Linked DNA regions of Drosophila melanogaster. The protein of the gene in region 1 purifies or fractionates together with the protein of each later gene. This does not show direct contact. Each region holds a gene or a part of one and is shown on either strand. Other genes may lie near its edges.

The links.
Region 2: the proteins of CG4278 (region 1) and isoQC purify together in Drosophila melanogaster (affinity purification with mass spectrometry, with the first as the bait; one large-scale study listed by BioGRID). This does not show direct contact.

Annotation. Positions count from the first base shown.
Region 1 is NT_033779.5:16,325,420-16,328,922, forward strand, and holds CG4278 (uncharacterized protein), read left to right. Parts: upstream 1-1,649; 5' UTR 1,650-1,737; coding exon 1,738-2,616; 3' UTR 2,617-2,710; downstream 2,711-3,503. Other genes in the region: mRpL4 (mitochondrial ribosomal protein L4), read right to left, coding at 2,711-2,930, 2,993-3,503.
Region 2 is NT_037436.4:20,472,318-20,477,563, forward strand, and holds isoQC (iso glutaminyl cyclase), read left to right. Parts: upstream 1-2,148; 5' UTR 2,149-2,209; coding exon 2,210-2,326; exon of another isoform or gene 2,327-2,474; intron 2,475-2,644; exon of another isoform or gene 2,645-3,069; coding exon of another isoform or gene 3,070-3,180; intron 3,181-3,247; coding exon 3,248-4,195; 3' UTR 4,196-4,686; downstream 4,687-5,246. Other genes in the region: CG32428 (uncharacterized protein), read right to left, coding at 324-657; CG5969 (uncharacterized protein), read left to right, coding at 1,581-1,652, 1,715-1,960. UniProt on the Drosophila melanogaster protein: Acts as a glutaminyl-peptide cyclotransferase. Responsible for the biosynthesis of pyroglutamyl peptides. Might be more efficient in the conversion of tri and tetrapeptides in vitro.

The DNA.
Region 1 (3,503 bases):
CCTTTTCGCTTTTTATTTTCTGCACATGTTCTGGGTTTAAACCCCAGCACTATTTTCTATGGATTTCTCACTACCTTGCTGGTTAATTGTCTTGCGAAGCTGTCTTTAAAACGCGTATTTATGGTTTAAATGTTTGTAATCTGCAATTCGCATAGTACCCGGACGCACGTCTGCTTTCTTTCACGTTTCGATAGCGAATGAAATTGAGGGAGCGCGCTGATATGTATATATTTATATGGCAGTCTATACTATAAAGCCCCGTTTGCACTAAGAGTTATCACGAAATGAAGAGTCTCGATTTTAAATTTTCTTTACTTAGAAAACTGTTAATTGAAAAAAATCTATTTTTTCATATTTGCCCAAAAAAAATAAAATTCTAGACTTGAAAAGACCGAAGTGAAAACGTTTGCCTTAATATATCGACGATGGAGTGTGTAATCGGGGCTTAAATCAGTTTTACATGTGTGCGAGGGAGACCATAGGGTTGCCAGATAGTAGGGAGAGCGCCAAGTTAAAATCTCCCAACAACAAAATGAGCAGCTAAATGGTCAGCTGCAACAAAAGCAACCACAGCAGCGATGCGTTTATTTATACTTCTTACTCTCTGATTGTGTGATTGTTTAGTTCCTCGAGCGAAGCCACTTGATGTTGATGCTCGGCGTCCTACGGTTGAAATGCGTATGACGGCGAGGCGGACAAATATCTGGGAAATCACCCGCTGACCGAGAACGGAAATGAAATGCAGGATTCTTTCTTCGGTTTTTCACAGGTCAGCTTCGATTGAAACCTCGACCAATTCTGAATTTCATGGGATATTCTGAGCGACCGATTTGTCATACACTCTCCTTCTGGGATTTTTTAACACTCAATCACATTTTATCGCCAATTCATGAAATATTATATATACGATTATTTTGGTTTTTACAAGGTTGTATTGATTAAAAAATTATCTGAATCCAAGAAATTTAGAGGGGCTTTACAAGATTATCAGATTCTTACCATAAAACCTGTGTTTACGGTCACAAGTAGTTTCGAAAGTTTTTGCTCGCTTTTTTAATTTAAAATTTAAAATTCCGCCTCTCGTAGTTGTAAAGTTATTTATTATAACAAATAGGTTATTAAAAAATCGGACTTGTTTCCTAAAATTTTGATTAAATTGCTGGGAATTTGTAAATTACTCTTCAGTTTTAGGGGTTTGGTCATTTCCTTGTCGGGTTTTGCTTTTTGCTTTTGTATGACTTAATTAAATTATTCTTTAAAATTTAAATTCTTCGGCTTCCGATTGAATTTCTTGAATTATTATTTATCAGGCGTTCGTTTTTCTATTAAAAACAAGTGTTTGGTGCCAATCTGATAAATTTATTAAGGTATATAAACTTTTTAAATATTTTGTTAATTTCTAATTATTTGTTTGCTATAACATAAACTTTTATCGTTTTATTAAAACTGTTTTGCTATTCTCGTTATTATAAAATCCAAATATTCATTAAATGTTTTTCTAACAAAATTACGCAACAAAAATGTGACCTGCTAATAAAATTATAGTAGTGTTTTTTAATGTTTATTAATATTAACCAATTACTTTATCGCCCAATTTAAAAATTGCGGGTGATAACAGATGATTTTAAGAGCAGGTAAAACAACAAAAATTAAGTTGGCAGCACTTACCGGCCAATAAGTCAATTGCACAAAATCTTAAACGCAGGACCAGAAATATTTTGCAAAGGACGTCAAGGAATGCTGAGAAGGATGAACACTTTTAGTGGTCAAAAGCTGGCGGCTGTGGTCAAGGAGCTGGAGAACTTTGCTCCGACTTCTTGGGCAGAGAAGTGGGACAATGTGGGACTCCTGATCGAACCGCACCGCGAAAAACAAATCAAGAAAATACTATTAACTAACGATTTAACCGAGCCCGTAGTGAAAGAAGCGCTAGAGAAGGAGGCGGAGCTCATAATCAGCTATCATCCGCCAATTTTCAAGCCCCTGACCAGGATTACGCAGTCACATTGGAAGGAGCGCGTGGTGGCAGCATGCTTGGCCAACGATATAGCCTTGTACTCGCCCCACACGGCGTGGGATAAGAAGAGTGGTGGCGTCAACGACTGGCTATCTAAGGCAGTGAATATCATCAGCATCCGCCCTCTGGAACCGGAGTTGGGTGCTCCTCCGGGTACCGGATCCGGTAGATATATAGAAACCAAAATGGAGCTTTCCCAGGTGGTGGAGTCTCTGCAAAAGCGCATTAGAAACAGCGTGCACGTTGCTCTAGCTGTGGGCCACACCCCCAAGACACTCATCCAATCCGTCGGCATTTGTGCCGGCTCTGGAGCATCTCTGCTGAAGGGTATCCAAGCGGATCTTATCATTACCGGCGAAATGTCCCATCACGAAGTTCTGGAGTTTACTCACAACAATACCACCGTTCTTCTCTGCAATCATAGTAATTCAGAAAGGGGTTTTCTCCATGAGTTTTGCCCTATATTGGCCAAATCTTTAAATGAAGAATGCCTGGTATTTGTATCTGAAGTGGACAAGGATCCTCTGGTCACCGTGGCTAGCGATATAAACAAAGAACTAAGCGCATTTGTTGACGTCTACAAGAGCACATCAAAATAACTTTGATCTTATAAGCATTTTTTGTTTAACAATGCATTTTCTGGCGCATCCATAAAGGTTACAAATAAACTAAAGGATTTAACTTTCTTAACTTCTAGACTTGATCCAGCTTAAACTTGCCGCCCTTGCTGGCGGCGTCGTTTCGATTAAGTTGGTAGAGCAGGCGCTGCTCCAGATGTTTCACTGCAGCCACTGTCAGCACCAAAGTATCGTGCTTCAGCATAGAATAGACGTTCAAGCCAAAGGTTGGCATCAGGTTGACATAGCCCAGATCATCGCTAGCCTGGCAAATATTGGCGGGGAACATATGGTCTCTGAGAAAAACAGAATCAGTATCAATTTACATATTATATGTTCACCTACAAGCAGAACTCACTCGTCTACAATCAAAACAGAAGGTCCCCAATTCCGTTCGGCGATTAAATCCTTAAGGAACTCTGCATCTCCGGTGGGTATGTCCACATTATCGATGATGTGCAGATCATCCTGGGCCAGCTTAACACTCAGCGTGGAGGTCAATCCTAAAACCCTCTTATAGAAGGGCAGCATGTAAAAATGGGTCGTAGGCGACCTGGGTCCGTGCACTACGCCGCCGCCCTTCAGCATGGGCGAACGGAGGGAACCGTGGCGGGCACGACCACCTCCCTTTTGGGGCCACGGCTTCCGACCACCACCGCGCACCTCCGCTCGAGTTTTGGTGTGCGCCATGCTTACATAACGATACTTGCTCTGCCACTCCACATTCTCCTGTATGATGTCCACGCGCGGCTGGGCGGCAAAGACATCCGGATGCAGTTCAATCAGGCCAACCTTTCGCTCCGCCACAGCATCCGTGTTCTCAATCCATGCCTGGCGCGCCGTGTTCCTGCTCACCGGCAAGCAATCTG
Region 2 (5,246 bases), on another chromosome or scaffold:
TACTCATTTAAAGTTAAATTAATATCATATTTGGTTCAAGTATAATTTGAATTTCATTGCAAGTGTTAAATTTAAGTTCAAAATGGTTTGAGACACTAAAAAATGCAACCATTACTCTTAAAGGATTGAGTATAACATAATAATATATTTCTGAGTGTTTTCTGAAACTAATGAGGATATTTAATATTTAAAGGCTGCTCGACAACAAATTTATTTATTGGAATTATTGCATGTGCAATTGCTAAGTAAGCCTAATATAAAACTGCCTTAAACAATTTAATAATTAAATAACTAAGCTTGCATTTTTGAGCAGCGATACTCACCATTGCAGTACTGGGCGGCCAAGTCAGACTCGTCGTAGCGACATCTCTTGGTGTACACCGGTTGGTCCGTGTCCAAATCCCCGACAGGATTGTGACCGGGATTCAGGCGCTTCTTGCAGCGCAGGACTTCCGGAGGCAGGACGACCGGCATCGGTTGTGCCGCGAGGTTATTGCCATCATTGTTGTTGTTGTTGTTGTTGGCGTCGGTCATGAAGGTGACGGCGCGTGGATTGAACGGATCCATCGAAGGACGCAGCGCTCCAGTTTCGAAAGTGGCGGCCGCCGACGACGACGGATCACCATGTGCCCAGCACTCGAAGTTCGTCAAAACCATCGCGCGCCAGCTGCAGTGGAATTTCCCCAAAAAAACCGAAAAGCAAGTACAGTAAATTCGGAAAAAACGCTCCTCTGCGTCCGTACTGTACTGTACGAAATCGTGCGGCGAACTGCAGGCGCGTATTTTTCCCCTAATTGAAATCGTATTTGTATGCAGTATGGATTTTGATGGCTCTGTCGGCTTAATAAGCGCCGAAAATACGCAGCAGTTGCTAAAATGGATGAAATAATTCAATTAACACACGCAAGCGGGGCGCGCGAGCATTCGGCCGAAATGCGACTGTAAATGCGGTGACGGCAACTGTTAAAAATAAACCAATAAGCAAGTTTTACATTTTGCCGCGTGCGCCTTTCGATTCACGATTGCTCTTTTGTTTTCCTTTCGCTCCAGTGTGACCACACTGCTGGTGTCGCAATAAGGCGTGCGACCCTGGAGAAAAATACCGAAGAAGTTGCGAAAAGACAGCTGTGGTTGCAAAAATAGTGCAGATCTTATGAATCTCATTGGAAGTCATGGAAACTTATAATTTATATATATTTATATTTATAATTATCGAAAATCGCGAAACAGCGTACAATATGTTACTTGAACAAATATGACACTTCATTTTGTATACCTAAAGAAATAGCTTCAATACTTCTCTTTTATTTTGATATAATTTTAACTTTTTACTCAATTAAAATGAATTAAAAAATGAGAATTTAGTTGAAAATATTTCGATAGCAACGATACCAACGATTAATCGACTAGTCGCAGTATTTTCTGGTATATTTTGAATGCTGGCACGGTACTACCACTTTATCATGTGATTTGTGATTTGTCAAATATTTCTGATAACCGAATGGCAGACCAAAGCAAAACTAGAAATTGAGAGAAATTGCTGATTTTTCAATTAAGCTGCATTCTATTTAACTGAAAAGATGTCGACCAAGAACAAGAAAGCCGCCGGAGGCAACGGAGTTGCGCCGAAACAAACCCGCCAGCAGTCGCACGTATGTAACATGACGGCTCCGATTGCCGGCTAGCTAATCCCTTGTTTATTTTGGATGCCCAGGACTCGCAGGACTACAGCTCCTTCAAGACAGTGCTCTTCTACTGCATGCTTATCGTTTTCCTGCCCGTGCTGACCTTCTTTGTGCTGAAGGGCTTCGTTCTGGACCAGTTCCTCGACATTTCCGAAGTCAAAGTGAACATAGCATCCGCCGTGGGAGCGGTCGTTGCATTGCACATCGCCCTGGGACTCTATATATACAGGGCCTACTTTGGGGCACCCGGTTCCAAGGGCTCCAAAACGGACTAATCCTCATCTACCCCGGACTGTTACCCTATTTCCATTAACTTTAAGTCGGTAGAGCACTCTTGTACATACATACATGCTACATATATAGATACAATTGTTTACATGCCAGCGAGGGAGGAGAAAGTCGCCTGTAAACCGTGTGTAATCGCTTTTCATTGCATAAGTTTCGATAACAGCGTGGAAAACGTGTTGTGTTGTGTAGTGTTCTGTGTGCATAATTTGTATTAAAAATATACATGCATAAGTGAAATGCGTCTGCTACTCAGAAATTATTCCCTAATGGAGGCCGTCAAAAGATTGCTGCCGAGACCGCGCAAAAAAATCTACAATCTAGGCGCTTGCTTCGAACTGGTGGATATTCCTAAGGTTAACTAAAACATACATTTATTTGTACTCTCTGCTTGAAAGGGGAGTTCTGTATAAAGTATACTGACTTCGGGGATTTTATTATATTGATAAATTAATTTTATGTTTTTGAATTTTATATTATATGTTTTCTTTTTGATTGAAGCACAAATTAGTCATTTTATTATTTTGTAAGAAGAGAATGGCTAGTGAACTGAATATTTCGTGTAACCATTGCTTAAGACCCCTGCTCATTAAATCTAGACACGCCCGTGACCTGTTTTTATGGGGGTGCCACCTGTTCGGGACTGGTGCTGCCACCTGATACAAATGGCAAGCAGCTGTTTAAATAATACGCGTAAACAAAACGATTTTGGTTGAATTAGTAAACAAGGAAATTAAATGATTTTTGAGAGGAGTGCAATAAATTACTGATGGGAAACAAATAGACACCCACAACGAGCGTTACCTATAGACAGTGTTATTTTCGTTAGCATTTTGACCCCCTTTGCGACGCCCATTTTTGTTATTTTGTGCCTTACAAGTCGGCCGTAAAAACTGGCCAAAATGATAATTTAATAGACTCGCCAAAGGGTCTTAAGTACAAGCCGGAGTGTGCCGCAAAATAGTTGCGCAGCCGGATGACCAATCTTTAAACTTCTTACGAACCTGCCGCTATTGATTGCAACCACCTGTTGGGACACAACACTCCCACCGCCGAACAAAAACACTCAGCCACGTAGTCTTAAGTCAGTCGGTTAAATATGCTACATCGAACAGCTAGAATGTGGACGCTGTGCGTGCAGACAGCTTTGATAGCCACCTTGGTGAGGGGATCCACTTCCCAGAAGGATAATCTCGTAGGAAGAACACAGGTCAATGGAGGGTAATGCAGCTAAACCAACCGCCTGCTTAATATGTGCTTTCTTTTAATTCAAACAGATATCCTACAATCCCAGCGAGCTCTCCGAGCCCCGATTCCTGGAGTACAGCAATCTATCCGATAAGCTACACCTAAGGGAAGCCATTGACAAAATCCTTATACCTCGAGTTGTGGGCACAACAAATCATAGCATCGTTCGCGAATACATCGTCCAGAGTTTGAGGGATCTAGACTGGGATGTGGAAGTAAACAGCTTTCATGATCACGCTCCCATCAAAGGCAAATTGCATTTCCACAACATCATCGCCACCCTGAATCCAAATGCTGAGAGATATCTGGTGCTGTCCTGCCATTATGATAGCAAATACATGCCTGGAGTGGAATTCCTGGGGGCCACCGACTCGGCAGTGCCCTGTGCCATGCTCCTCAACCTGGCCCAGGTGCTTCAGGAGCAGTTGAAACCCCTCAAGAAGAGCAAACTGAGTTTGATGCTCTTGTTCTTCGATGGCGAGGAGGCTTTTGAGGAGTGGGGACCCAAGGACTCCATCTATGGAGCACGACACCTGGCCAAAAAGTGGCACCATGAAGGAAAACTTGATAGAATAGATATGCTGGTGCTCCTGGATCTGTTGGGAGCCCCCGATCCGGCATTCTACAGCTTCTTCGAAAACACCGAGTCCTGGTACATGCGTATCCAGTCCGTGGAGACACGTCTTGCCAAGTTGCAGCTCCTGGAGCGCTATGCCAGCAGTGGAGTTGCCCAGCGCGACCCCACCCGCTACTTCCAGTCGCAGGCCATGCGATCCTCTTTCATCGAGGACGATCACATACCCTTCCTGCGGCGAAATGTGCCGATCTTGCACCTCATTCCGGTGCCCTTTCCCAGTGTATGGCATACGCCCGACGATAACGCCAGCGTGATCGATTATGCGACGACGGACAACCTGGCACTGATTATACGGCTCTTCGCTTTGGAGTATCTGCTGGCCGGAACCGAGGCCAAGTAGTCAAGTGGGCTTCCGTGTGAATCACAAATGACAAATGTTGTATCTACTTCAGGCCTTATCTAATTGACCTGTTCCAGTATCGGAGCATTGTTGGAAGTTCTTATGCCCGCCGGAAGATCCCTAGAAAACCTTGTTGTAACCGACTGCGTGCTTTAAAACTAATAAGGGAAGATCTGCAACACGCGTACTCCAAATATTTTTATACACATGTATTTATAGAAAATGCTTAGCTAATGACACGTCAGGTTTATATATTTTTTGTAATCTTTCGGTTGTAAATTGTTTCACTTATGTAAGTTAACTAAGTTAACCGGACTGATTGTCCGCACACCAGCACCGGTCAAATTGCTGACCAAGCATTTGGCCGGAAGCTCATGCATAGCCGGCAGAAGCTCTGCGCATTGGCAGAGGCCGCTATGATGTTTTTCCCTTTGTTAGCTTATAGTCAGTTTGATTTTGTATTCAATAAAGAGCGCATCGCGCCTTCAATCAACTCCAGCTACTGCTGTTATCATTGAATTGGTTGGCTAGCCTTAAGGGCAGTCAACAACGGAGAGACGTTCTCCCACCATATCTCCCAATCTAGGAGAAGAGGTCTGCGGCAACCGCCCTGCCTCCCAGTGACAGAGGAACCCCCCGTTACCTGCAACCTACGCCGGAGACCGCGGCGAGGGACCTGCACCTTATATTTAATTAATTGGCACCCAACTCCAGGAACCCACACCACTACCCTGAATCATGTAAGTGGGATTCTCAACTTAAACACTACTCCAAACTGCGTCTAGAATTTTAAAATATTTGGGATGTTTGTGCGAGTTACATAAATAAATTAAGAAAATCGGCATTTCCACTACAATAAACGTTTATATGTGTTGCGAATTAAGATTATGTTACTGTTATGAAGTTTAAATATCGAATTTTGATTTGTGGTTGACTTTGCAATCCATATTGTGTGCATTTCATTCCGCCTTCGCACATCCGCGGGACACTGTCGTTTCATTCGAAATTTAATTAGCTACATTGGCTTCGCAGCCCTTTCAAGCTTTGTTGT